Tribolium castaneum: one gene and its partners. The protein of the gene in region 6 purifies or fractionates together with the protein of the main gene of each other region. This does not show direct contact. Links are inferred from orthologs where the notes say so. Each region holds a gene or a part of one and is shown on either strand. Other genes may lie near its edges.

Region 1 (3,278 bases), on a different chromosome or scaffold from region 6:
GCTCAATTGCCGATTCTTCAATTGATTGATGTCAAGTTGGCGTATTCGGAGCCACTTCCACCTGAGCCAAGTTTCTGGTCGCTTTTATTCAAAGGGCATTTGGCGGATTTGTGGCAATTGAATATTTTGAAAAACGCGGTTACAAGTACCTTCGAGTTTGGGGCGTTTTTCTTGCAGTTTTTGCAAGCCTGGAGCGCTCACCAGAATTATAGTGTGACGGCGCTGCCAACTGTTAAACCACCAATGGTGAGTCTAGTGATAGTGTTGGTAGTAGTGCTAATTTGATTGTTTAGCTCGATGGGAAAGCCCGAAATTATCACAATAAATGTCCGATTTGTTTACAATTTTGGAAAATACCGACTGTTCTTCCTGTTTCCGGATACGTGTTTTGCTTTCCTTGCATTTTGCGGTATTTGAGGGACAACCAGAAGTGTCCGGTTACGAATCTTCCCGCCAAACCGCTGGATATCGTTAGGATATATGATAATGAATAAAAGACGTTGTAGTTGAGAATTTTTTATTGAAATAAACATGCAATTGTGAAAACAACAAAAAGCCACACTTTTTGTCAAGCAAAATGATAAAAAAATATTAATAAAAAACGAAAAAGAAGTCTCAAATACCTGGGAACAAATCCACGAGGTCCTTCCGGTACACTCATCCTAATCCTAGTAATCCTATCCTAATCCTCAAACAGTTTTAAATCCACTTCATCGCCAAAATCCTAGGAAAAGTATTAAAATCCCCCGAAAATTACTACAATTTATTTAAAAAATCCTAATCCTAGGAGTTTGTCCTTTCCTTCCGGTGAAGTGGAGATCAAAATCCCGTGTTTGTGAGACCTATCGCATTGCAAAACATCTCGTTTAAACACTGTTTTTTCAATGAGAAACGTGTCAGTTAATTTTTTGAAATGATTGTGTTTCATTGTTAGAAAAATTGAATAACTTATTTACCGAGCCATTTAATTGTGTGGTGTCCTCTCAACACTCCGAAAAATGCAATGCTTAGTGTGTTAAAAGTTTAAATATCCTCCTCCACGATCTTTGAGACTCCCTCCTAACAACATTCATCCACTCCTCTTGCATCCGGGTGTGTCAAAGATAACATTTTATTGTCTATTATTTTACTATCGACTTTATTATTTTTTCCAAAAACCAGTCCAACGCTGATTGACTCAGCAAATTGTACGGTAACAGAAAAAAGAAACAATACATATTAGTGCCTTATCCGTACTCTAACCTAATTGAAAATTTTTATAAAATTTAAGTCTAAAAAATTACAAGAATGGAGGAGAGAAAAAAACGATTCTTCCAGGAATGTCAGAAGAATTAAAATACCCACATTTACAAATACAAATTCCAGGGTTACCAACCGCTTTTTTTCTCTTGCATTTTTTTTAAATCAATCAAATTAAAAAAATCCCCGGTTTTTTTGATACGTACATTATACAAAAAGGCCAGTCCGTAGAGTAGATTAAATTAGGAGCGAGAACGGCTTCTGGAGTAACTCCTTTTGACCGGACTGTATGTTGGGGAACCCCTCCGACGGGGCGAATATGAACGACTGCGTGACCTTCCCCCTGACCGTCTATCACTCCCCCCACGATCTTCCTTCACCCTTATGTACGAAACCTCCCCCTGACGCCAAATTAAAACACAAATCCCTCAACAACCAAACAACTCTTACCTCATGTGACCTAAACCTCGAATCGTCCAATTTCTTTATAGCATATTTCATGTCTTCGTATCGGAGAAACTCCACAACGCCTGAACCGTCCTTGAACGCGTCCGCGAAGCACACGTCTCCAGCCTCCCGCATGTGGTCCTTCAAGTCCTGCCACGAGCCCGACGGTGGCAACCCTGCAAAAATTCAATTGTAAATATTTTGATGTAAGCCTATGTAAAAAGATCCGGGGAATCGATTGGTGTCGATAAAATCACCACATTCCCAATAGTTTTTAAGTTACGATTTTTTTCATCTTAAAAGACTTCGTTTTTTTTTAATTCAAATATATGCATTTATTTTGTAGTATAATCTCTATTTAGTTCAACGCACTTAGTGCAATGTGTTTCTAGTTTTTTAATCCCATCCCTGAAGTGACTTTCTGGTAGTTCTGCAAAATACTTATTTATAGTCGCTATTACCTCCTCATTCGAGTGATAATTTCTCCTAATCACATTTTTTTTTTAATTGTGGAAGTCTGGGGAAGTCAAATCAGGCGAATATAAAGAATGTTCTAATAATTCATGTTTTTAATTCGTCAATTTTTCCATTGCCAGAGCGCCTTTGCGACACCCTTTCACACACTATTTTTTCGTATCTAATTCTTGGTGCAAAATAAACTACACCCTTTTCTCAGATATCCCTATCACCTTAGCTACCTCATACACTTTCATTCGCTGATTATCCAATATCGAAATTTGCATTTTTTTGAGGTTTTTATCCGTGGTTACTGTTTTGGTCATCCTTCACAAAACTCATCATTGAGAGATGTGCGACCAAGTTTGAATTCAGCTGGCCATTTTTATAGTAGAATATGAAGAGGTTGACTTGAATAAACTTAATAAGATTACGTCTAATACTTCCGGAGTTATTGCCCGATATGCAGGCTGTTCTGTTTTTATTGTTACAAATTTGTATAATAGGTAATAGAACATTTATTTTTAATCATAAATTTCCTATAAACATGTAGGTTTTCCTCAATATTTCAGAAACCGTTTCAGATAAAAATACAAAATTTGGTACAATTGATAACCTTCATACGCCTAATCGAATTTAAGGATCAAATGTAGGAATTTTTAATGAGAGGTGTCCCAAACTAGGGGCACCGTGTGGTCAGATACGAAATATCGACTAAGCTAAAGCTTAGTATTGGTTTAACTAACCGGTCGATGTTGGCCGCTTAAGCATTGGCTTATCGCTTAACATTTTTAATATTAACGTTATTAATATACATAACTTTATAATTTTATTGAAATCGTTAACAGATAAATTAAAGAAACCGAAGTAGCAATTTTAAACGCAAAAAAAATATGGTCAATTTTGTTCAAAATTATAAAAAAGATACTTGATTACGTTCGGTGAAAAAAATGGAACATGGGCCCAAATTGCTCGAAGATTTAATACAACAAAAGACACCCGTAGAGAGGCTGCTAATTACGAAAAATATATGACAATTAAAAAAATCATAAAATACGCAGACCAACAATGTTAGAAAAAACAGACTCATGAAGCGCCATATAGCCCATATACTACTTACTTTCACAAATGTGGAA
Region 2 (2,805 bases), on a different chromosome or scaffold from region 6:
AACTCAGGGGAAGTCCTTGCCTAAGGACTGCCGACCGGAAGCGAGCGCAGCCTTCTCACATATTTTCGGTAACGACCGCAGGCTGCATTTCCATAATTATTTAATAAAGTGGGATATTTATAGACGCTGTGTATGCAGCGCTGCTAAATTAGGCGATTTGCAGTACTGTTCCGAAGACACTCGCACTTTTATTCCAATTAGCATAAGTAAACAAGGCAACAATTGCATTCTTTCAGGTGGGTGGCATTATACAATTATTACACATTGCGTATTTAAAGTGGGTCCTTCAGAAATTTGTGATGTGAGAAACCTTTCCCTCAAGTACAATTCGGCTCACAATTAATTATCATCAGGTGGTAATAAATCTTATCGCGAAACGCGCATTCTTCAAGTCTCATTAGCTCGGAAAAGTCACAAGGAAATTTTCTTCCAGATTAAGAATGGAACGAGTTTTATCACTCATCGGCGCGTAATTGGTGTAAGTTCAATGGAAATAAACCCGTTCGGTTTGGATAAACATTTGTGACGTCAATGAATAATTTGGCTCTTGTTTTTTGCTCTAAGGGGAAGTGAAGAAGACAATGGCTTGATTCGTTTCACGAAATCATTTTTTGATTAATTAATGACGATGCGGGGAATCCGACAGATAATAATACTTCAAACGTACATTCCACACATTCATTGTGTTTTTCTTATTGTTTAGCAACTTTTTTTAGCCAGAATTAGCATATTTGTGACCAACACAAATCGCTGAAATAAGTGTTGGCAGACGTGTTTTTGTATATAGTGAAGCCTTTGAATCCGAGCCATTTTTGTTTGGGGTTTTCCCGATTATGAAATTAATTTTTTCTTACCTAATTAAAATAAATAAATAACTGAAGCAGGACTTTTTATTACAAAATACAATAATGTAACATACGGAGTATATTATCAAATTATCATTATCAGCTGTTAACAGTTAAAAGTAAGTTTGTTTTTCGGGTTAGAAGGGGTTCGGATTAACGACGTTTTCCTGTATTTTTTCATATTTAGATTCCATGTTTTGATACAAAAATTAAATTATTAATTATTTGGTCCCAATGATTGATATTTATTGCTTCATCTTAATTTTGGAAATTTTTGGAAATTCAGGGAAATTGCGTTTGGGGCGCTCTCTACAGGTATTCGTGTAACAATTACAGAAACCTGTAACGGTAGTCGGTGAAATTGATGGCTTGTGCGTTGTTTGTTTAATTGTAATTTTTCGCTAAAACCTAATTATGGTGAAGCTAACAGCCGAGCTGATTCAAAATTCCATGCAATACATAAATCCGGTAAAAGACCGCGAGTTGGACTTACGAGGTGAGGACCAAATGTAAAAAAGTTGGGTTAAGTCATCTTTTTTTAGGTTATCGCATCCCCGAAGTGGAAAATCTGGGGGCCACCGGTGACCAGTTCGACACAATTGACTTTTCGGACAATGATGTGCGCAAGTTGGATGGTTTTCCGTACTTGAAGCGGTTGAAATGTTTGCTTTTTAACAATAACCGTATTGTGTAAGTTGTGGGGTTTTTTCGTTTTTTTTTTTTGAGTTTTGGGGTTTTAGACGCATTGGGGAGCATTTGGAGGAGTACATTCCTAATTTGGAGACGCTGATTTTGACTGGGAACCACTTGGAAGAGCTGGGTGATATTGAGCCGTTGTGCACTTTGGAGAAGCTCACCACAGTTAGTCTTTTACATAACCCTATCACTTCCAAGCAGCATTACAGGCTATACCTAATTTATAAGTTACCGCAGTTAAGGTTGCTCGATTTTCGTAAAGTCACAGCTAAGGAACGGGAAGAGGCGAGGGCTCTGTTTAAGAGTAAGAAAGGCAAGGAGATTAGGAAAGAAATTGGGAAAAGGGCAAAGACGTTTATTCCCGGAGGTACAGGTAACAGTATTGCCAAAAGTAAAGGTACGTCTTACATTTTCTGTGAGTTTTATTTTTTCAATTTAATTATTTTTTCAAGGCCTTACAGACGAAGAAATTGCGAAAATTCGTGAAGCTATCAATAAGGCCAGTTCTTTGGAAGAGGTTGAACGGTTACAGAAGATTTTACAGTCTGGTCAAATTCCTGGTCAAGAAGAAATGAACGGTTAATTTTTTCTATGATTTATTGTGGGAAATGTAATATTTTTTTTCAGGATATCAAAATGGACAAAGTATGGAATATGAATAAGTTTGAGGTAATTTTCAGTCAGGTGTACAATTAATTAGTTTTATTTATAAGTTCCGGTTGATAAGAGTATTGTACTACACTAAATACAAGGTTGAGAAGCGAGCGGAATTAATTTTTCATTTTTTCTAATAAAGCAATACGTACAATAACTGGGTATTATTTCAATCTTTCCCGACTGAAACAATGCCTTTCTGGCAAGATTTATCTGTTTCAGAAATTAATTGAACGAAATAAGCTAACAACAAATTTTGTTTTGCAGCTAATTTTTCGAAGAAAATTAGTTTTTAGTTTTCACAGCGAGCAAAAGTAATGTTAATTACAGAAATAAACCAGTTTTTTAAATTTTGCGGATTTTAAATTTGTCTGTAAACATGTAAAAAATAAAAAATTGTTTTTATCTCAAAACCGTCTTGCGAATACTTTTTAGTGGCTACTCGTGTCATTTTAAGAGCGCCTTGGAAATTGTGTCTAAAGTGACCGAAATACTTTTCAAAGTGTGTGGTAATAGTGGTTTTAGAATATTTCAAAGTTCAAATAAATTTTTTCATTTCAGAATGTTTTAGTTGATTTGGAATTATTTCTATAACAATTCGCGTCACTTA
Region 3 (2,673 bases), on a different chromosome or scaffold from region 6:
AAATACAATCAATTTCGGTGTAATTTGACAATTTTTCAACCAAAACTTATTGAAAATGTTTTGCTTTTTGTTAAACATTCAAAAAAAACATTTAGTCTTTGGCCTGTTTTTAACAAATTTCTGTGGTAAATATCAGCATTTTTCCTGAAAAGTTGTTAAAAGGAATTTATTTAGGACATTTTGTGAAAATAAGAAAATTTCAAGAGTTAGATTACGTCAAAATAGCGAAAAACTCGACAAATTCGGTATTTTTTTTCCTACAACAATGATATTTGTATTAAAGTTCTGGTTTAATAGTTATTTACGTAATCAGTTATGAAAAATCGATTTTGTTTGACGAGGATAATGTTTGCCAAAACGAGTGAGCGCAGCGAACAGGTTTCACAAATTAGGTAAGTTAAACTGTAAGCGGCTTTTAATAACGTACAAAATTCTTCCTAATTACGTCGTAAATTAAAATTTTATTCCCGCAATTTTATTTAAATAAAGAAAAAAAACCCTAAACAAGTTAGAAAATGGTCCAAAAATGACCAAATGTAAGCAACTTTTGGTACGGTTTGTAATTAATAAGGCATTTTATAAAAAAAATTGGTCAAAAGTTTTGCGGCATTAAACAAAATAAAAAATTACAGACAATGAACAACAATAACAACGATGTAAAACAACTCTTGGCTCGAGTTTGCATCCATTTGGCTAAAACCGTACCACAGGAGAAGATGTCTTCAGATTTGTTGAAGCTGCTTTTACCAACGTTAGTCAACGGAACTAAAGAGAAAAATGGTTATGTTAAGGCAAACTCAGAACTTGCATTGATTGCGGTTTTGAGGCTAAAAGATGGCGACGCTATGCAACAGGTAAATCTTCATTTTAAATGATTTTGTCTAAGATTTTACCGTTTAAAAATTGAATAATCTGGCTCCTGGCGACCCATTTTTGGACACAATTTACAAAAAAGGCGCATAATATCACTGAATTTCTATAAATTAGTCTATACTAGAGTTCCTTTATTGGGAGAGTTGGGACACTGAACGTCAAACCGAGCCAATTTTGTATTATGTGGATAAGGTATTCGGAAGTAAAATTACCGTTGGGGGCGCCACTGAGCTAGGTCGAAAACAGTAACCATAAATGGCGGGAAAATGTTTATTCGAATATTTTGAGCGTTGTACGAATTTTGGGGCTTCACAATTATTACATTGCCTATGCGGAATGATTATTGCATCTTTGATGCAAGAAACTTATGTTGACAAATGAGAGATGACGAGGAAAACACGAATAACGAATGACTGTTTGGTTCACTTTCTTTATTGGAAAATTATTACAAAGACATTGAAAAGCCTACCTTTTGGCATAATTTACGTTTAAATGTATCAGCAGTTGTTAATCTTTATTGTAGTTTTGTAGATTTACCGCAGCATTTCATGATTTTTTCAGTGGAAAATTCTAACCTAAAATTCACACACTTCACTAATTTATTGATTTCTTGGGCCAAAGTTTGTGTTCGCTGTGATCCATTACTTATAATCTTTAATTAGAGAACTGTTTGATAACACTTTGTAATTAAAATTTAAATATTTTTCACTTTTTATCCACTTTCAATTTCCAACAATAAACACTTTATACCACGAAAAACTACAGAACCAAAGTCAACGCTAGTATTTACCACTACGTACTTTAAAAGTGATAATTTCTATTCTAAGTAATTAACACTATACACGCAAAATTGTTGAACAATTCATTAAATTCAATTAAATGTGGAATTACGAAAATTTCTTTACTGTTTTCGACATAGTTCAAATGTCATCACCAGAGGGAGTCTAGTTAATTTTATTTCTGAATAGGAACTCTAGTCTATACTTGATTTATTTGTCTTTTTAGCGATGTCTGAGTATTCTGGACGTCGGCGCTCGCGAATCCCTCGCTGACGTCGTCAGTAAAGTCCTCAAAAAGATAATGTCGCAGCCTGAGGGAAAGGAAGAGGAGCTCGACGACACTTTACTGACTTGATTATTAGGGTCACGCAACGGAGCAAACAACACGTTGATTTGTTGTATCCCTGCGTTTTTGATCATTTCCGGTGTTCGTTTCTTCATTTTGTTCCCTTTGAGTTTTAATATATACGATTTTGTAAATTTTGTTTTAAATACAATAATAATAAATGAGAAAAAAAATCGTTTTATTTATTTACAATAAATTGTAAACAAAATGACAAACATTTACAAAAACAATTAATAATCGTCACCACGTGACACCACTTCTTTGCAGGTTGGACGAAGCATGATGGTGTGTTCGAATTGAGCTGTGTAACAACCCTTGATGTCACATAGAGGTGGGTATGCGTCTACGACACCTTTGTCACATAAATCCTTCAAAGCCATTTGGTATTTGGTCGCGCCTGCGCGGTCCAACCATCGCTTACAGAACGCCAATGTTCCGAAGTTCTTGTTTATAATGTTTAGAAGGGTTTTTGACGATTGGAGACTGAAAATTGCAAACAATGTTAAAATTAACAAAAATAATTGTTTAATATTATTATTCTTGTGTGTTTATTGAGACAATTTCAACAGGTTAATGAAATTAAAGATATGGTAATTTCTCTACGTTTCGCTCATTTTTTTAGCTTCTTCAGGACAGTACTGTCAAGGGCGTTGGAAATATAGCAAGAAATTACTT
Region 4 (2,289 bases), on a different chromosome or scaffold from region 6:
TGTGATACGTATTTGACAAATTTCGATTGAGGAGTACTTTTAATGCTGTCCGTTTGAGCGCTAAGTGCATACTTTATTTTTTGTAGAAGGTTTTTTTCTTCATTGCGTGGTAAAATGGCATCAAAAACGCAATGGTCTTAAATTAAAAAATTGGTATTTATTTCAAGGTGCGTTATGGTCAAGTTTAAGGTTTATTCAGAGTGAGAGAGTAAGAGAAAAGGTATATAGTATTGTTTTTACACACCATAAGATGTGAAACAGTTTTTGAGAACTGAGTTAGTTGGCGCAACAATTAATTTTAGTAAAATTATTATTTTTCACCCTTGACATCATTTTCGTATTAATTTCCAGATAATGGCGGCGGCAGTAACTTGGTGGTTCAAGTCGACACGATTTTTGTGTCTGGAATGAATCCAAATCTCACCGAAGACGAAATTGCTCAACATTTTGGTTCGATTGGCGTGATTAAAGTAAGTATTTGACTAAACTCAGCGACCTGCACTCTGTGCTTGGATTCACTTTCTTGACCAAGTTCAATTTTGATGTGTCGCAATATTATGACAGATGCTATTCCTTGATTGCAAGAAATATTTGCAAACAAGTGTATTCAATCTGCTACAAAGAATTCCATTTTTGACAAATTTGAAATGATTATTTCGTTCCGATTAGATGGACAAGAAAACCCAGAAACGGAAGATTTGGTTGTATAAAGATAAACAGACCGGACTTTCAAAGGGTGAAGCCACTGTTACGTATGACGATTCCAATGCAGCTCAATCAGCAATTTCTTGGTTCGACGGGAAAGAATTCGGTGGTACTCAAATAAGGGTACAGTTGGCCACGAAAAAGGATAATTGGAGTGGCGGTGGCGGCCGCGGAGGTGGAAGAGGTGGCGGCCGCGGGGGCGGTTTTGGAGGAGGCCCAAGAGGCCGAGATGGAGGTACGTGAGTTTGCAATTTTTTTAAAAGAAATTAATACCCCTTCCGACCCAGATTTGTCTAAAATAGGCCAAAATCTGTTTTTATTTTAAGGGGCAGATTAATTCCCCATTAAACACACAGTAGCAGTTTGGTTGCTTCTGATGTATCCTGTCTAGGGAAACATTTTTTTTATTTGATTGGCAAACAATAATTGTTTGGTATAGGTTTCGGCGGTGGTGGTGGAGGCGGTAGCGGCGGCGGCGGTGGTGGCGGTGGCCGAGACCGCGAAAGCCGCGAAGGAGACTGGAAATGTCCAAACCCAGACTGTGGCAACACAAATTTTGCTTGGAGGAATCAGTGCAATAGATGCAGTGAAGATAAGCCGGAAGGTGCCGGTTCCGGGGGTGAAGATCGCAGAGGAGGCGGCGGCGGAGGCGGTAGAGACCGTGACCGTGGAAGAGATAGAAGAGGTGGTGGCGGCGGTTTCCGCGGTGGTGATCGAGGAGGTCGCGGATTTGGCGGTGGAAGAGGAGGCCGAGGCGGTTTCGGCGGCGGTCGAGGAGGAGGCGGAAGGTATTTGTGACAAAATTTGGTGTAGGAAAGATTTTAATTTTGATGTTTAGGGATCGTGGCGGCGGTCGCGATGGAGGACGTTCCAGGCCGTATTAGAAGATTTTTTCCAAATAGATTCATGAGTGTTTTATTTCCATTACAGTATCATATTCATTTCAGTTTTTATAAGGTGATCTATAAGATTTAAAGCTTTGTGTTTTCTAGTAATTACACAACACGAGAAGTTGAGTGGTCACGAGTATGGCATGTTTAGTGAATAATTATTTTATGTATAATACATTTTTAAGTACAAATTACTTTTTGTTATAGTATGACCTTTCCTAATTCCATTTTCCTGCAAAGTCAAAAAATAACTCATAAACAACTTTTTTCTTCAAAACTTCACAATAACGAATTTTTAATAAATGGTATCTGGCGATTAACTGTTTCAAGATTATAAAAACGCCAACGTCGCATTTTACCGAATTATTTCTTTAAATAAGATTCACAACATTGTAAAATGGTTATTGGGGATTAGATCTCTCATTGAAGGTATAAATTAACATTAGCTATTATTTTTTTGAAATGCATGAATAATTTATAACAGCTAATTTTGAGAGAAAATACGACGTTGGCGTTTTTATAATTTTGAAACGGCCAATACGCTGTCTAACAGTCGTGATCGCAATAGATTTTGATCAACAATAAAATAAGTATTTTTGGAACGGTTTCCTAGGAAATAATTTCCAGTGTTGGCACATCAACAAATTGTGATTTTTTTGAGAAATTTTATATTCAAGAAACTTAGTCTGATAGT
Region 5 (4,020 bases), on a different chromosome or scaffold from region 6:
ACCAGGCCGATGCGACTGTGGAAATTTCCGTCGCAGTTTCAAACAAAACGGAAGGAAAGCGGCCTTCCGGTATCAATCTTATAACACAAACTCACACTAATCCAACACAAAATAATCAAAAATCAAATAATTAACTCACCCATTGGAAAAATTCGATTAAAAATGAAATTTTCCCGCATATAAACAATAACAAACCACAGGTTATCAACCTTACCAACGCACAACTCCCAACTTGGAAGCGTTGGTAAAAGAGGGCAGCATAAACCACAAACGTACTGTCAAATTCTTCTGTCAATTATCTGTCTGTTTTGAAGCGTCCTCTAACGGTGTAGAGTAATTTAGCTCAAATGTTTAAACATAAATTTTTATATTTTTTTACTTTTATTATGTTTTTTAATTTATTGAACTAAATATTGATCTGTTGAAGCTGAAAACTATCAGAAGTTATAGGTACAACGTTTTTTCAAGGTTCGCTAAAATGTTAAATACTATGTTGAATATAAATTATTAGCTGTTTTAAAACTATAAAAACACCAACGTCGCATTTTACTAAATAATTTTTTTAAATAAGATTAATAAAAATGTAAAATAATTATTATTGATTAGCTTTCCCAAGTATAAATTACATTATCTATTATTTTTTTGAACTACATGAATAATTTATAACACCTAATTCAAAAAAAAATGCGACGTTAGCGTTTTTTTAGTTTTGAAACAGCTAATATATTTTATTTCAGTTTATCGCAGAATTCTGCAACAGCGCATTTGGATTTTTTGGAGTGAAATAAAGCACATATTGAAAGTTTCTTTATAAGAAAAAAATATATGTTAAGCTAAATCTCAGTAACAAATTTTGAGCCAAGAACCCAGAAACTTTCAATTTGAGCTCTACTTCACTCCAAAAAATGCAAATGCAAAATTCTACTATGAGTTGAAATGAGATATAAGCTGTTTCAAATCTATAAATTAGGTTTCATTAATCGTTCTTTTTGATCCGCAACCACAAGCGTTAGTTGTAATATAGATATTAACGTAATACATAATATTATAATACATAATAATAATACATAATATTTGTAAAAAATATAAGAAATAACTACAAAAGTAAAAAATATAAAAACAGTTTACACGCGTAAAATGTTGGTATAGAATTCTGTAAAGACCGCTTGTGGCGCCTCTAGTGGTTTGGAGTATTCATCAATTTTATTTTTTATTGCCATCTCTCTCTTCATTTTACGTTGAGCAAGCGTTTGTTAGCGTGTTTATTTAGCTTATTGTAAGAAAAAATAGTGAAAATGCCGGTTTTGGAAGCAAATAATCCAAATCCGGACGATCCCGGACCGATAAATCCAGTGGTGGGTATTATTTATCCACCACCAGAGGTGAGAAGTATCCTTTGTGAAAATTTCAGATTTGTCGGAAAATTCAGGTTAGATTGTATTTTTCCTGACAATTTGCTAAGATATCGTCGATAAAACAGCCAGTTTTGTGGCCAGAAACGGGCCAGAATTTGAGGCCAGGATCAGACAGAACGAATTAGGGAATCCGAAATTTAATTTCCTGAATCCTGGTGACCCCTACCATGCGTATTATCAGCACAAAGTCAACGATTTTCGAGAGGGGAAAGGTAAGGAACATAAAAATATATTAATCGAGTTGATCAGGTTAAAGTAGACCTATGGTTCTTTTATTAGGTTGGTCACACTGAAGAATATTTGTTCTTTAACCCGGCGTTACTCAGTTGGGGTGTGACAGACCCCAGAGTAAAAAAATGCTTTGGTTTTTTAGATAGGAATGTTATATGTATGCACCTTTCAGTAGATTGCAAAAACATTTCGAATATGATGTAATATATGATTTTCATATAATATAATATAATTTTCACCTGGCTGTTATAATATGTGTGTTGTAGCCGATTTTATGGCTCTGGGGTTTGTTACACCCCACTTACTTACGTTACTACTTTTTACCAAAAATTTTGCTCTATAAAACTAGGTAAAGATTTGACTTTTTTGAAATATTGGACTTTATGTAAAATCGAGTGTAAAATGCTTTGGTATAGTTTCAGAATAACAAACACATTCTTTGATGTGTGTGTCACACCCCACCTTAGTATTGGTGTCCTAAAAACTCACCTGAGTAACGCCGGATTAATAAAGTTTTTCAAACATTAACTAATTTTGAACACTTGTTTATAATGTGAATGTAAAGTGGAATTACTGTTTTTATGCAAAAAAAACCTTTTAGTTTACCGTTCAAGACAAATCGTTTCATTCATCATTTTTCTGCGAAAAACATTCAAGTTCAATTATAAAAAAAAATTATTCTCCTTTTTTATCATTGTTGGTATTTTCGTAGTATTATGTAGCCAAGGTCTGAAGGCGTTTCCGAGACGTAACTTTAACTTTGTAAATAAACAGTTAAGCTGTCTTATCTTTTCTCTAAACTCCATGAAAATACCAACAATTATTCAAGTTTAATGTGGTTTTCATTAAGGATCTTTTTTTTTGAAATTTTGTGAAAACTACACGTATGACATTGCTCTGGACTTCAGAATGCCAAACAAATCATTGGGTGGTATAAATAAAAATGAAGTAGATGCTAATACTACAGTCCAGTGGAGTAAAGACATGGGTGAAGTAAATGCTACTTTTTTAAGTAAATACTTTACTTTCGGGAACAAAAGACTATAGTTAAAAGTAGGCACTTCCTGTTATTAGCAGATACTTCTCCATAGTAGTATATCCCATTTCAGTTCATAGTAGAATTTTTTAACAGCGCATATGCATTTTTTAACATGAGAGTTTCTGGTGGGTTTTCTTAGCTCAAAGTGTGAATTCTTTTCTTATACAGAAACTCAATTTGGGCTTAATTTTTACTCCAAAATACTCACATCCGCTGTTGAAAAATGCAATTCTACTATGAACTGAAATTAAATATACCTACTTCGAAATATAATTAAAAAAATCAATATTTTACTTTAGACACATTACTAACAGAATCAAAAGAAAATTTGGAGTTTGAAGGAGGGCGAACAACTTCATACAGAATTTTAAAAAATATGAGTTACAGATTTCGTTTAGTTAATAGAAGAAAAATCTTTGTGAACAAAAACATGTTCTGATATCAAAAATTGTTTTTTTACGAAAATTTCTTCAGTACCAAAACTCTAAAACACTAAAAATTTTATTTTTGTATATTTGGATGAAAGGTGGATTTATCAAAATGGCAGCAATGTTCGACGGTGGGTTCACGAAGAAGACCTAAAAAGCAATCCTTCAAAAATTAAAAGTGAAGACAAAAGGTTCACTATATTATATGCGGGATGTCGGTTTGCTTTTTTGGAAGGATGTGACCTTTTAATGGATGTGGCGAATAATGACAGAGGCTATCACAAAACTATGAATGGAGAAATATTTCAAACATGGGTGATTAACCAATTAATTCCTGCTTTAGCAAAACTACCATTTAAATCTGTTGTGATAATGGATAGTGCTCCGTGTCACTCGATGCAATTGGAAAAAATGCCCACGTCGTCTTCTACCAAGGGTAAAATGTAGGTATGGTTGATTAATCATCATATAGAATTTGATTTAATACTTCACTAAAAATCAGTTGTAGGATTTAATAAAACCTTTAAAAGCAAATAATTAAAAACAGTACGTAATAGATAAAGTTTTAAATGACCATGGACATGAAGTTCTTTGATTACCCCCATATCATCGCTAGTATAACGCAATTCATTGGCATAGGGGTTTTCTAAGAACTATTATAATAAACATACAAATGAGCAACCTTTGGACAGAAATAAAGTTGCAAATCTATGGTCGGAATCACTCATAAAATGTACACCCGAAATGTGGCAAAATTTCTGTAAACACTGGGAATAATTAATTGCTTCAGATTGGACAAAACACATTGCAAATATTTCTCCATTTATTATTTCTCTAAGTGAGTCTGATTCAAAAACAGATTTTGATGTTTCAGATTCAGAAATTTAATACTTAACACTTGGAATAA
Region 6 (4,163 bases):
GAAAAAATCTAAAACAAGTCTAGAAAATGGTCACTGGCAGTGCTAGACTTCCCCGAAATTCGTATGTCCCGTACTTTGCGCATGCTCCCTTGCCTGCAATTGTCCATTAAGGAAAATATTACAATTCATGCATTTTAGCGTAAATTTGTTAACATCAGTGAATTGTCGACTCGACTTCGCCTCGCGCGCTAATTCCTGCGCCTCTTGTAAAACCTTATCATCATCAGTGGGAAAAATCGTCTGAATACTCGCCCCCTGAAACGAATCAAATAATTTTTTGATAACCCCCTGAGTAAGGAAATTACATCGGACGATTCCAAAAAAAGGGGGTCATAGTGTATACCATCAAACATTAGAAAAATTCGAAGTGTGTAATGCTGGTCTTCCCCGAACCGGTTGATAATAGCGTTGATCGTGTCTACGACGGCAATTTCGAACCCATAGTGATTCGAGAGAATGGCCAACTCGATGGCGCCCCCCCATGACTTGTCGTCCTGGATCCAGGCGCAATACTCACGGTTGGGTTTCCCCAAAATCGCCTCGGAAAACATCTCGGGGTCGCTGGCCACCGTTTCGGCAATCACTTGTCTCATGTAGGGGGCTGCCGTGCCACTCTCGTCCAGTTTCCCGTTCAGGGCGAAGTAAACACTACTGAAAAGACACGAGTTGTCGGCCGGCACCACCTTCTTCATCAGAATCCCCGGACAGTCGACACTTTCACTGATATGGCCCCGCAAGGGGGGCGCAGTCTCCCGGGCCTTCTCCTCCAAAATCAGGGTATCGCCCGACTTGAGACCACTGCGACTCAACTCGAGACCATCGTCCCCCAAGGCGAACGCCTTCGGGGGGAACCCTGACAACACATGGAGCCTGTCCTCGGGGATCTGCGATATGGAGCACAACTGGCGCTTCAAATCTTTGATCGTGTGCTCAGGTGTTAGGTTTTTGATCACTTGTTGCCCCGTTTTGGTTTTGACGCGCAAAGCGAACGACATGGTGCTCTCTGGGGGCTAATAACAATGACAGTTGGGAGTGACAAGTGACAGGAGAAGTGAGGTTAAGGGCGAAATTAAGGGCTTGGGGCCCGAATTTAGACGATTGGGGCGAAAGGGGGCAACACTTGGGCGCTTTATCACCGAGATAACATTTCAAAAGGGTTAAATAAACACAGGGATTTGGGGGGGCTAGGGACTTTCGCCGACTGACGCGAGATACCAACCACACTTTTTTAATTATTTCAAGACAGGAAAAAATTATCACGTTTTAGATCAGTCTCGTGTCACGATTAATACGTTCTAAGTACGGTTCTGATTATTTTTAATCCCCAATTTTTGTTTTTTCTCGACTAACAGTTATGCCAACTCAAGGACGGCCATTTTTATAACCAAAAATCAAGCCGTTTAAAAAGGGCCGTTTTTTGCATTAGTGTCCCAAAATAATTACTTCTTATCTAATTAGTGACTCAATAGTGTTGACCCAAGCATCATTATCGTGCTTTTAGTGGTATTGTTATAAAATTTAAGTTTTTGTCAAAAGTGAGGTTAGGTTTTTAACTAAAGAGTGCAAAAATGCCGCGTATAATGATAAAGGGGGGCGTTTGGCGCAACACCGAGGATGAGATCCTCAAAGCGGCGGTAATGAAATATGGGAAAAACCAGTGGTCTCGAATTGCCTCGCTCCTTCACCGCAAATCGGCCAAACAGTGTAAAGCGCGTTGGTTCGAATGGTTGGACCCCAGTATTAAAAAAACGGAATGGTCGCGGGAAGAGGACGAAAAGTTGCTACATTTGGCCAAGTTAATGCCGACTCAGTGGCGCACGATAGCCCCCATAATCGGGCGAACGGCCGCTCAGTGTTTGGAGCGCTACGAGTACCTCCTGGATCAGGCACAGAAGAAGGAAGAAGGGGAGGATGTCACGGACGACCCCCGGAAGCTCAAACCGGGGGAAATTGACCCCAATCCGGAAACCAAGCCTGCGAGGCCCGACCCCAAAGACATGGACGAGGATGGTAAGAGCTAACAAATGGGGTACATTTTTCTCAGTTTCAAAACACGAATTCAAAAATGCAATAAAAATTTCAAAACCGCAAAAGAATCACCCTGTATAGTATACTATAACGCAAAAAGGTTGGCACGCGTGTTTGTCGTTGCAGAGCTGGAGATGTTGTCCGAGGCGCGCGCCAGGCTTGCCAACACCCAGGGCAAAAAAGCGAAGCGAAAAGCGCGCGAAAAGCAGCTGGAAGAAGCGCGTCGATTGGCAGCACTGCAAAAAAGGCGCGAGCTTCGAGCTGCCGGCATCGAAGTGAATTCGCGTCGTAAGAAAAAACGCGGTGTTGACTACAATGAGGAAATCCCCTTCGAAAAACGTCCAGCGATTGGTTTTTACGACACTTCCACCGAAATTGTTGATCCAATGGCGCCCGATTTTCACAAAATGCGTCAACAACATCTCGACGGTGAACTGCGAAGCGAACAAGAAGAACGCGAACGTCGCAAAGATAAACAAAAATTAAAACAAAGAAAAGAAAATGATATTCCACAAGCGATGCTACAGAATCAAGAACCGGCGAAAAAACGCTCGAAATTGGTACTTCCCGAGCCGCAAATTAGCGATCTGGAGTTGCAACAAGTCGTAAAGTTGGGTAAAGCGAGTGAAGTTGCACGTGAAGTTGCAGCAGAGAGTGGAATCGAGTCGACTGATACGTTGTTCAATGATTATACGGTGGCGGCGCCACAAGCGGCAGCGGTGACTCCCCGAACTCCGGCACCGCAAACTGATCGGATACTTCAAGAAGCGCAAAATGTCATGGCTTTGACGCATGTGGATACCCCACTCAAAGGTAAAAAAAAAATCACAAAAAAATAAATAAATAATGACGTAACTCGAAGAGGAGCGAAAAAATCGAAAAATTTTATTCTTGAAAAAAAATTGCAATTTTGTAGTAGTTTACCGTCCACCAATCTGTTTTTTCAAAAAGTGAATAGTTTCGCCAAAAAATACTAAATTGCAAAGTTTGCCTCACCCGCTATATTGCTCAAAAATATCCCGAAATTAAGAACTTTTGTAAGTTCTTGATTTTTAAAAATGTGCGTAATAATAATTAAGAAAGGTACAAATAAATTAAAAAAAAATTTTTTTTTTCTTATAATACGAGCTAAATATAGAGATACAGTTAAAAGTTTTACTTTGTCACCTACCAATAAAAAAACTATTTAAGTCACAATAACTGAATACCCTGCCAAGAGCATGCCTATGTGACTTAAAATTGTTTGAAGATTCCAAATCTGTCTTTATTGGATGAAATATCAATTTTCTTGTTCATAATATGTAAAAAAAATAAAAAATAAAAAAATGAAATTGACATTAAATGACTTGTAGTTCTTTCTTTTTATTACTTTATTTGTCTCAATAACTTAATAACCAATAAAAAAATTTCTAGGTGGGTTACTACCTAAAAAATACCATAACTTCAAAACGAACGAAAAAATTAAAAAACTTTATACTTTGAAAAAAGTCCCATTTTTATAGTAGTGTACCATCCACTAATAACTTTTCCCAAAAAGTTAATAGTTTAGTCGCAAAACGCCAAACTGCAAACTTTGCCTCACCTTGTATATCTCTTTCAAAAGGGGGCCGAAACACGCCACTTCACAACTCGGATTTTTCGGGCGTTTTACCACAAGCCCTCACCATAGCCACTCCCAATACGGTCCTGGCGACCCCTTTCGGGGCCCAAACCCCCGGTTTCATGACACCGCAGGGCCCCCAAGGCAGTTTTACGCCTTCAGTTCGTGACAAACTCAATATAAATGAGGAAAACACCGAAATGGTGGCACAAACTCCAGCCGAACAGCGTTCGCTCCAAAACAATTTAAAAGAACAACTAAGACTAGGCTTAAGTAGTTTACCGACACCGAAGAACGACTACGAAATCGTCGTTCCCGAACAGGAAGAAGAGGAAAAAGAAGAAGAAAAAACGCCAAATATTGTCGAAGATCAGGCAGATGTTGATGCGCGAGCGCTTGAAGAAGCGAAAATTCGGGCGGCTCAGGAGTTAGCCCTGCGGTCGCAGGTGATTCAAAGGGGGCTGCCGCGCCCCCACGATGTAAATTTGGCCGTTTTGCGGCCGAATCACGAGTCGCATTCGTTGACCGAGCTGCA
Region 7 (3,500 bases), on a different chromosome or scaffold from region 6:
GTTAAAGAGCTAATCAGAAATTTAACATTTTTGAAAAATTCAATTAAAGCACAGTGTAAAAATGCACGGACTTTATTTTTATAATAGAACATTAGAAAGTCTTTTGTTCTTAATATTAAAATTATTATAAATTAAAATTGTTTTTTCTTGTAGTTTGCGGAAGACTTAACAATGTTTGACATTAGAAAAAAAATACGTAAAGCAAGGGCTTTATCATATTACTATTTTATAAAAAATTCAATTTACTAGTTGTTGAAATAGGTTATTTTTTGTAGGTATCACGCCCCAAATGTGGTTTACATTAAGACAGAAGATCCCGATCTCCCAGCCTTTTATTTTGACCCGTTAATAAACCCAATCTCGCACCGACATGCCGTCAAAAGTTTGGAACCTCTACCCGAAGACGACGAAGAATACATTTTACCAGAACATGTGCAACCCTTTTTGCAAGAAACACCACTTTATACAGATAACACAGCTAACGGTATTGCCCTGTTATGGGCTCCTCGTCCATTTAACTTGCGTTCAGGTATTCATTATTTTATTTAAACGTAGAGAAAAAATTTATTTTAATACTTGTAGGACGTTGTCGCCGGGCCATTGATGTACCATTGGTCAAAACATGGTACATGGAACATTGTCCTCCTGGACAACCGGTTAAAGTGCGCGTTAGTTACCAGAAATTGTTAAAATACTATGTTCTTAACGCGCTTAAACACCGGCCTCCTAAAGCACAGAAAAAACGCTACTTGTTCCGTTCATTCAAATCCACCAAATTTTTCCAAACTACTACACTTGACTGGGTTGAAGCTGGTTTGCAAGTTTGTAGGCAAGGTTACAACATGCTCAACTTGCTCATTCACCGGAAAAATCTCAATTATCTTCATTTGGACTACAACTTTAATTTGAAACCTGTCAAGACTTTGACGACAAAAGAACGTAAAAAATCCAGATTTGGGAATGCTTTCCATCTGTGTAGGGAAATTCTACGTTTGACTAAACTCATAATAGACTCACACGTTCAATACAGACTTAACAACGTTGATGCGTTTCAACTGGCTGATGGTTTGCAGTACATTTTTGCCCATGTCGGTCAATTGACTGGCATGTACAGATACAAATACAAGTTGATGAGACAAATCAGAATGTGTAAAGATTTGAAACATTTGGTATATTATCGTTTCAATACGGTAAGAGTTTGTGAAATTTTATAAATCGGAAGTTAGAAATTATTTTTATACAGGGTCCAGTTGGGAAAGGTCCAGGTTGTGGATTTTGGGCTCCAGGTTGGAGGGTTTGGTTGTTCTTTATGAGGGGAATTACACCTCTGCTTGAACGTTGGCTCGGCAATTTACTGTCACGGCAGTTTGAAGGCAGACACTCCAAAGGTGTTGCTAAAACTGTGACCAAGCAAAGGGTTGAGTCTCACTTCGATCTTGAGTTAAGAGCTTCAGTTATGCACGATATTGTCGATATGATGCCTGAAGGTATCAAACAGAATAAAGCCAGGACCATTTTGCAGCATTTGTCCGAAGCGTGGCGGTGTTGGAAGGCCAATATTCCTTGGAAAGTAAGTTTCCTTTGTTCATTTTTTTTCAATTAAATATACGGACAGTGTTTTGCTATAAAAAATAGAAATTAAAAACATAACTGCATACAATGAACATTACAATAGCTAACATTTAGAAATTAAATGAAGGTTTTTAGGAATGAAATTTATTTTAATATACTAGTTAACAAATTTCTTAACAATTACAATCCGCTTTAACACAAAACTTGGCTTTGGTTCCAAAAAAAAAATCGGTAATAGACTGGTTGAAATCGGTTATAAAGTGATCTCAACAGAGACAACATGTAGTGTTCCAGGCGTTTGATTTACTTTAGTTTCGAACTGTTTTTTAAGCTAGTTAAAAGGTTATTAAACAATCTTGCGGCGTGTCTAAATCAAGTTTTTAATGAAAATATTGGGGTTTATTCAATTACATAACACATGTGGCATGCATTTTTGTTCATTTCAATTTTGTATAATGTAAAAAAAATATATTTTGTATCAGAAGAGTTAAAAAACATAAAATAACTTCAGTACAAGCAGTTTAGAGAAGCTTAAGGTTTTCTTTAGATAAACAGTTGTGGGAGACATTATTTTTTTACAAGATGTAAAATATGTTTTACAACTATTCTGTTGATTAAAATTTCATCGAAGTTATAAAAACCAAGACACACTTCGTTTTATAATGTCTCTTTGTGTTTTAAAATTCTATTAAATTCCAACACTTTGTATAACTATTTAGTTAGTTTAGTTAGTTTAATTGGACAGACCATAATAAATAAATAATGCTGCCATTTTTTGACAAATTAAGTTGAAAAAAATATTAGGGGTTGATTTCATTAACGATAAATAAATCGCCAGTTAGTTATTTGACCAATAATGTTTTAGAAAAACTGAAAAAAAAATCTTTATTAAATTTTACTCTACAGGGTATTAATGTTCGGACAGAAAACTGTTTTACAGATTTAATATTAAGTTACGTCTCCTTTCCTTTCCTGATTACTTGAACCTTGGTCGGGATAGTTTTTACTAGGTCTCAACAAAATTCAGGAGTAAAATGGTGCATAAATCTTGTCTTGTTCCTATTGAATGATTTTATAAATGGTTATTCATTTCGTTCCAAAGTTTTGATAATATTTACTTATTAGATACGAACTATTTGAAACAGTTTATGTTATGTTCTCCATACTATTTTTTATTTGTTGTTTCACATGCTCTTCCATCTTGTAGAAAAATAAAAACACATTGAAAAATTACATTTTTTGGTTACATAATATAATTATAATAATATAATGTCACGGTAATTGTCAACGTTTGCTTACATTTTGATTTGATTTAACTTTATGCAAAATCTGTCAATATCGTTCCAAAATATCATTTTCTAATTTGCTTTTTAACTTTTGCAATGAGTAAAAAGATTAGTTTGAAACAAAGTTCGTTCAATGAAAATAATAATAATAATGCTAAAGAATTCTAGACGTGCGCAAGATCAAGAGCTTTCAAATTTGAAATTATTTCAAAAATTATTTTTTCAAAGCTTACGACAAAATACAAATTGTTAAACCTATATCAAGTTTAGTTTCACAAGAACGGTGTTCTCTTTTTGATAATAATTATTTTTTTTTAATTTTGGTGTTATAGTAAAATTGTTACTTAACATAATTTTCTGTCTTGTTCATAATCTTACTATTTTTCATTTTTGTCATACACTTTCTCTGTATTACCTGTTTACATAAAATAATCATTCATAATACTTCTGTTATGAGTAAATACATCTAGGACCTTTAACATATTTTTGTTGTTTTTAAAGTATTCACAATTATTTATAACGATTTTGGGAAAATTATTAATCAAATAACAAATTGTTATTTTATGGATGTTTAAATTAATATCAACTCTTTATTTATTACTGTTTTGTTTAAAAAGATAAGCCACTTAGAAAATAAAAACT

What was found.
Region 1: the proteins of Cdc5 (region 6) and SF2 purify together in Homo sapiens (affinity purification with mass spectrometry; 4 studies listed by BioGRID and IntAct, with this or other methods). This does not show direct contact. The link is inferred for Tribolium castaneum from reciprocal best matches to the Homo sapiens genes CDC5L and SRSF1.
Region 2: the proteins of Cdc5 (region 6) and U2A purify together in Homo sapiens (affinity purification with mass spectrometry; 5 studies listed by BioGRID and IntAct, counting the BioPlex papers as one, with this or other methods). This does not show direct contact. The link is inferred for Tribolium castaneum from reciprocal best matches to the Homo sapiens genes CDC5L and SNRPA1.
Region 3: the proteins of Cdc5 (region 6) and stalled ribosome sensor GCN1 purify together in Homo sapiens (affinity purification with mass spectrometry; 3 studies listed by BioGRID and IntAct, with this or other methods). This does not show direct contact. The link is inferred for Tribolium castaneum from reciprocal best matches to the Homo sapiens genes CDC5L and GCN1.
Region 4: the proteins of Cdc5 (region 6) and RNA-binding protein cabeza purify together in Homo sapiens (affinity purification with mass spectrometry; 4 studies listed by BioGRID and IntAct, with this or other methods). This does not show direct contact. The link is inferred for Tribolium castaneum from reciprocal best matches to the Homo sapiens genes CDC5L and FUS.
Region 5: the proteins of Cdc5 (region 6) and Sf3a1 purify together in Homo sapiens (affinity purification with mass spectrometry; 3 studies listed by BioGRID and IntAct, with this or other methods). This does not show direct contact. The link is inferred for Tribolium castaneum from reciprocal best matches to the Homo sapiens genes CDC5L and SF3A1.
Region 7: the proteins of Cdc5 (region 6) and Prp8 fractionate together in Homo sapiens (co-fractionation; 5 studies listed by BioGRID and IntAct, with this or other methods). This does not show direct contact. The link is inferred for Tribolium castaneum from reciprocal best matches to the Homo sapiens genes CDC5L and PRPF8.

Annotation. Positions count from the first base shown.
Region 1 is NC_087401.1:8,584,845-8,588,122, forward strand, and holds the end of SF2 (serine/arginine-rich splicing factor 1A), read right to left. Parts: intron 1,863-3,278; coding exon 1,690-1,862; intron 1,641-1,689; coding exon 1,482-1,640; 3' UTR 501-1,481; downstream 1-500. Other genes in the region: Pex12 (peroxisome assembly protein 12), read left to right, coding at 1-246, 294-494. UniProt on the Homo sapiens protein: Plays a role in preventing exon skipping, ensuring the accuracy of splicing and regulating alternative splicing.
Region 2 is NC_087395.1:21,925,132-21,927,936, forward strand, and holds U2A (U2 small nuclear ribonucleoprotein A'), read left to right. Parts: upstream 1-1,173; 5' UTR 1,174-1,259; coding exon 1,260-1,341; intron 1,342-1,387; coding exon 1,388-1,535; intron 1,536-1,585; coding exon 1,586-1,938; intron 1,939-1,993; coding exon 1,994-2,119; intron 2,120-2,168; coding exon 2,169-2,203; 3' UTR 2,204-2,305; downstream 2,306-2,805. UniProt on the Homo sapiens protein: Involved in pre-mRNA splicing as component of the spliceosome. Associated with sn-RNP U2, where it contributes to the binding of stem loop IV of U2 snRNA.
Region 3 is NC_087395.1:1,243,689-1,246,361, reverse strand, and holds the end of stalled ribosome sensor GCN1, read left to right. Parts: intron 1-632; coding exon 633-854; intron 855-1,878; coding exon 1,879-2,007; 3' UTR 2,008-2,173; downstream 2,174-2,673. Other genes in the region: und (methionine aminopeptidase 2), read right to left, coding at 2,229-2,481. UniProt on the Homo sapiens protein: Ribosome collision sensor that plays a key role in the RNF14-RNF25 translation quality control pathway, a pathway that takes place when a ribosome has stalled during translation, and which promotes ubiquitination and degradation of translation factors on stalled ribosomes.
Region 4 is NC_087395.1:19,586,664-19,588,952, reverse strand, and holds the end of RNA-binding protein cabeza, read left to right. Parts: intron 1-351; coding exon 352-470; intron 471-669; coding exon 670-940; intron 941-1,144; coding exon 1,145-1,493; intron 1,494-1,543; coding exon 1,544-1,589; 3' UTR 1,590-1,789; downstream 1,790-2,289. UniProt on the Homo sapiens protein: DNA/RNA-binding protein that plays a role in various cellular processes such as transcription regulation, RNA splicing, RNA transport, DNA repair and damage response. Binds to ssRNA containing the consensus sequence 5'-AGGUAA-3'.
Region 5 is NC_087397.1:12,582,887-12,586,906, reverse strand, and holds the start of Sf3a1 (splicing factor 3A subunit 1), read left to right. Parts: upstream 1-1,220; 5' UTR 1,221-1,295; coding exon 1,296-1,389; intron 1,390-1,462; coding exon 1,463-1,627; intron 1,628-4,020. Other genes in the region: peroxidase, read right to left, coding at 140-179. UniProt on the Homo sapiens protein: Component of the 17S U2 SnRNP complex of the spliceosome, a large ribonucleoprotein complex that removes introns from transcribed pre-mRNAs.
Region 6 is NC_087400.1:3,567,162-3,571,324, reverse strand, and holds the start of Cdc5 (cell division cycle 5-like protein), read left to right. Parts: upstream 1-1,363; 5' UTR 1,364-1,568; coding exon 1,569-2,010; intron 2,011-2,154; coding exon 2,155-2,841; intron 2,842-3,631; coding exon 3,632-4,163. Other genes in the region: Yod1 (ubiquitin thioesterase Otu1), read right to left, coding at 43-255, 306-995.
Region 7 is NC_087394.1:7,714,791-7,718,290, reverse strand, and holds part of Prp8 (pre-mRNA-processing-splicing factor 8), read left to right. Parts: intron 1-275; coding exon 276-529; intron 530-582; coding exon 583-1,190; intron 1,191-1,243; coding exon 1,244-1,570; intron 1,571-3,500. UniProt on the Homo sapiens protein: Plays a role in pre-mRNA splicing as core component of precatalytic, catalytic and postcatalytic spliceosomal complexes, both of the predominant U2-type spliceosome and the minor U12-type spliceosome.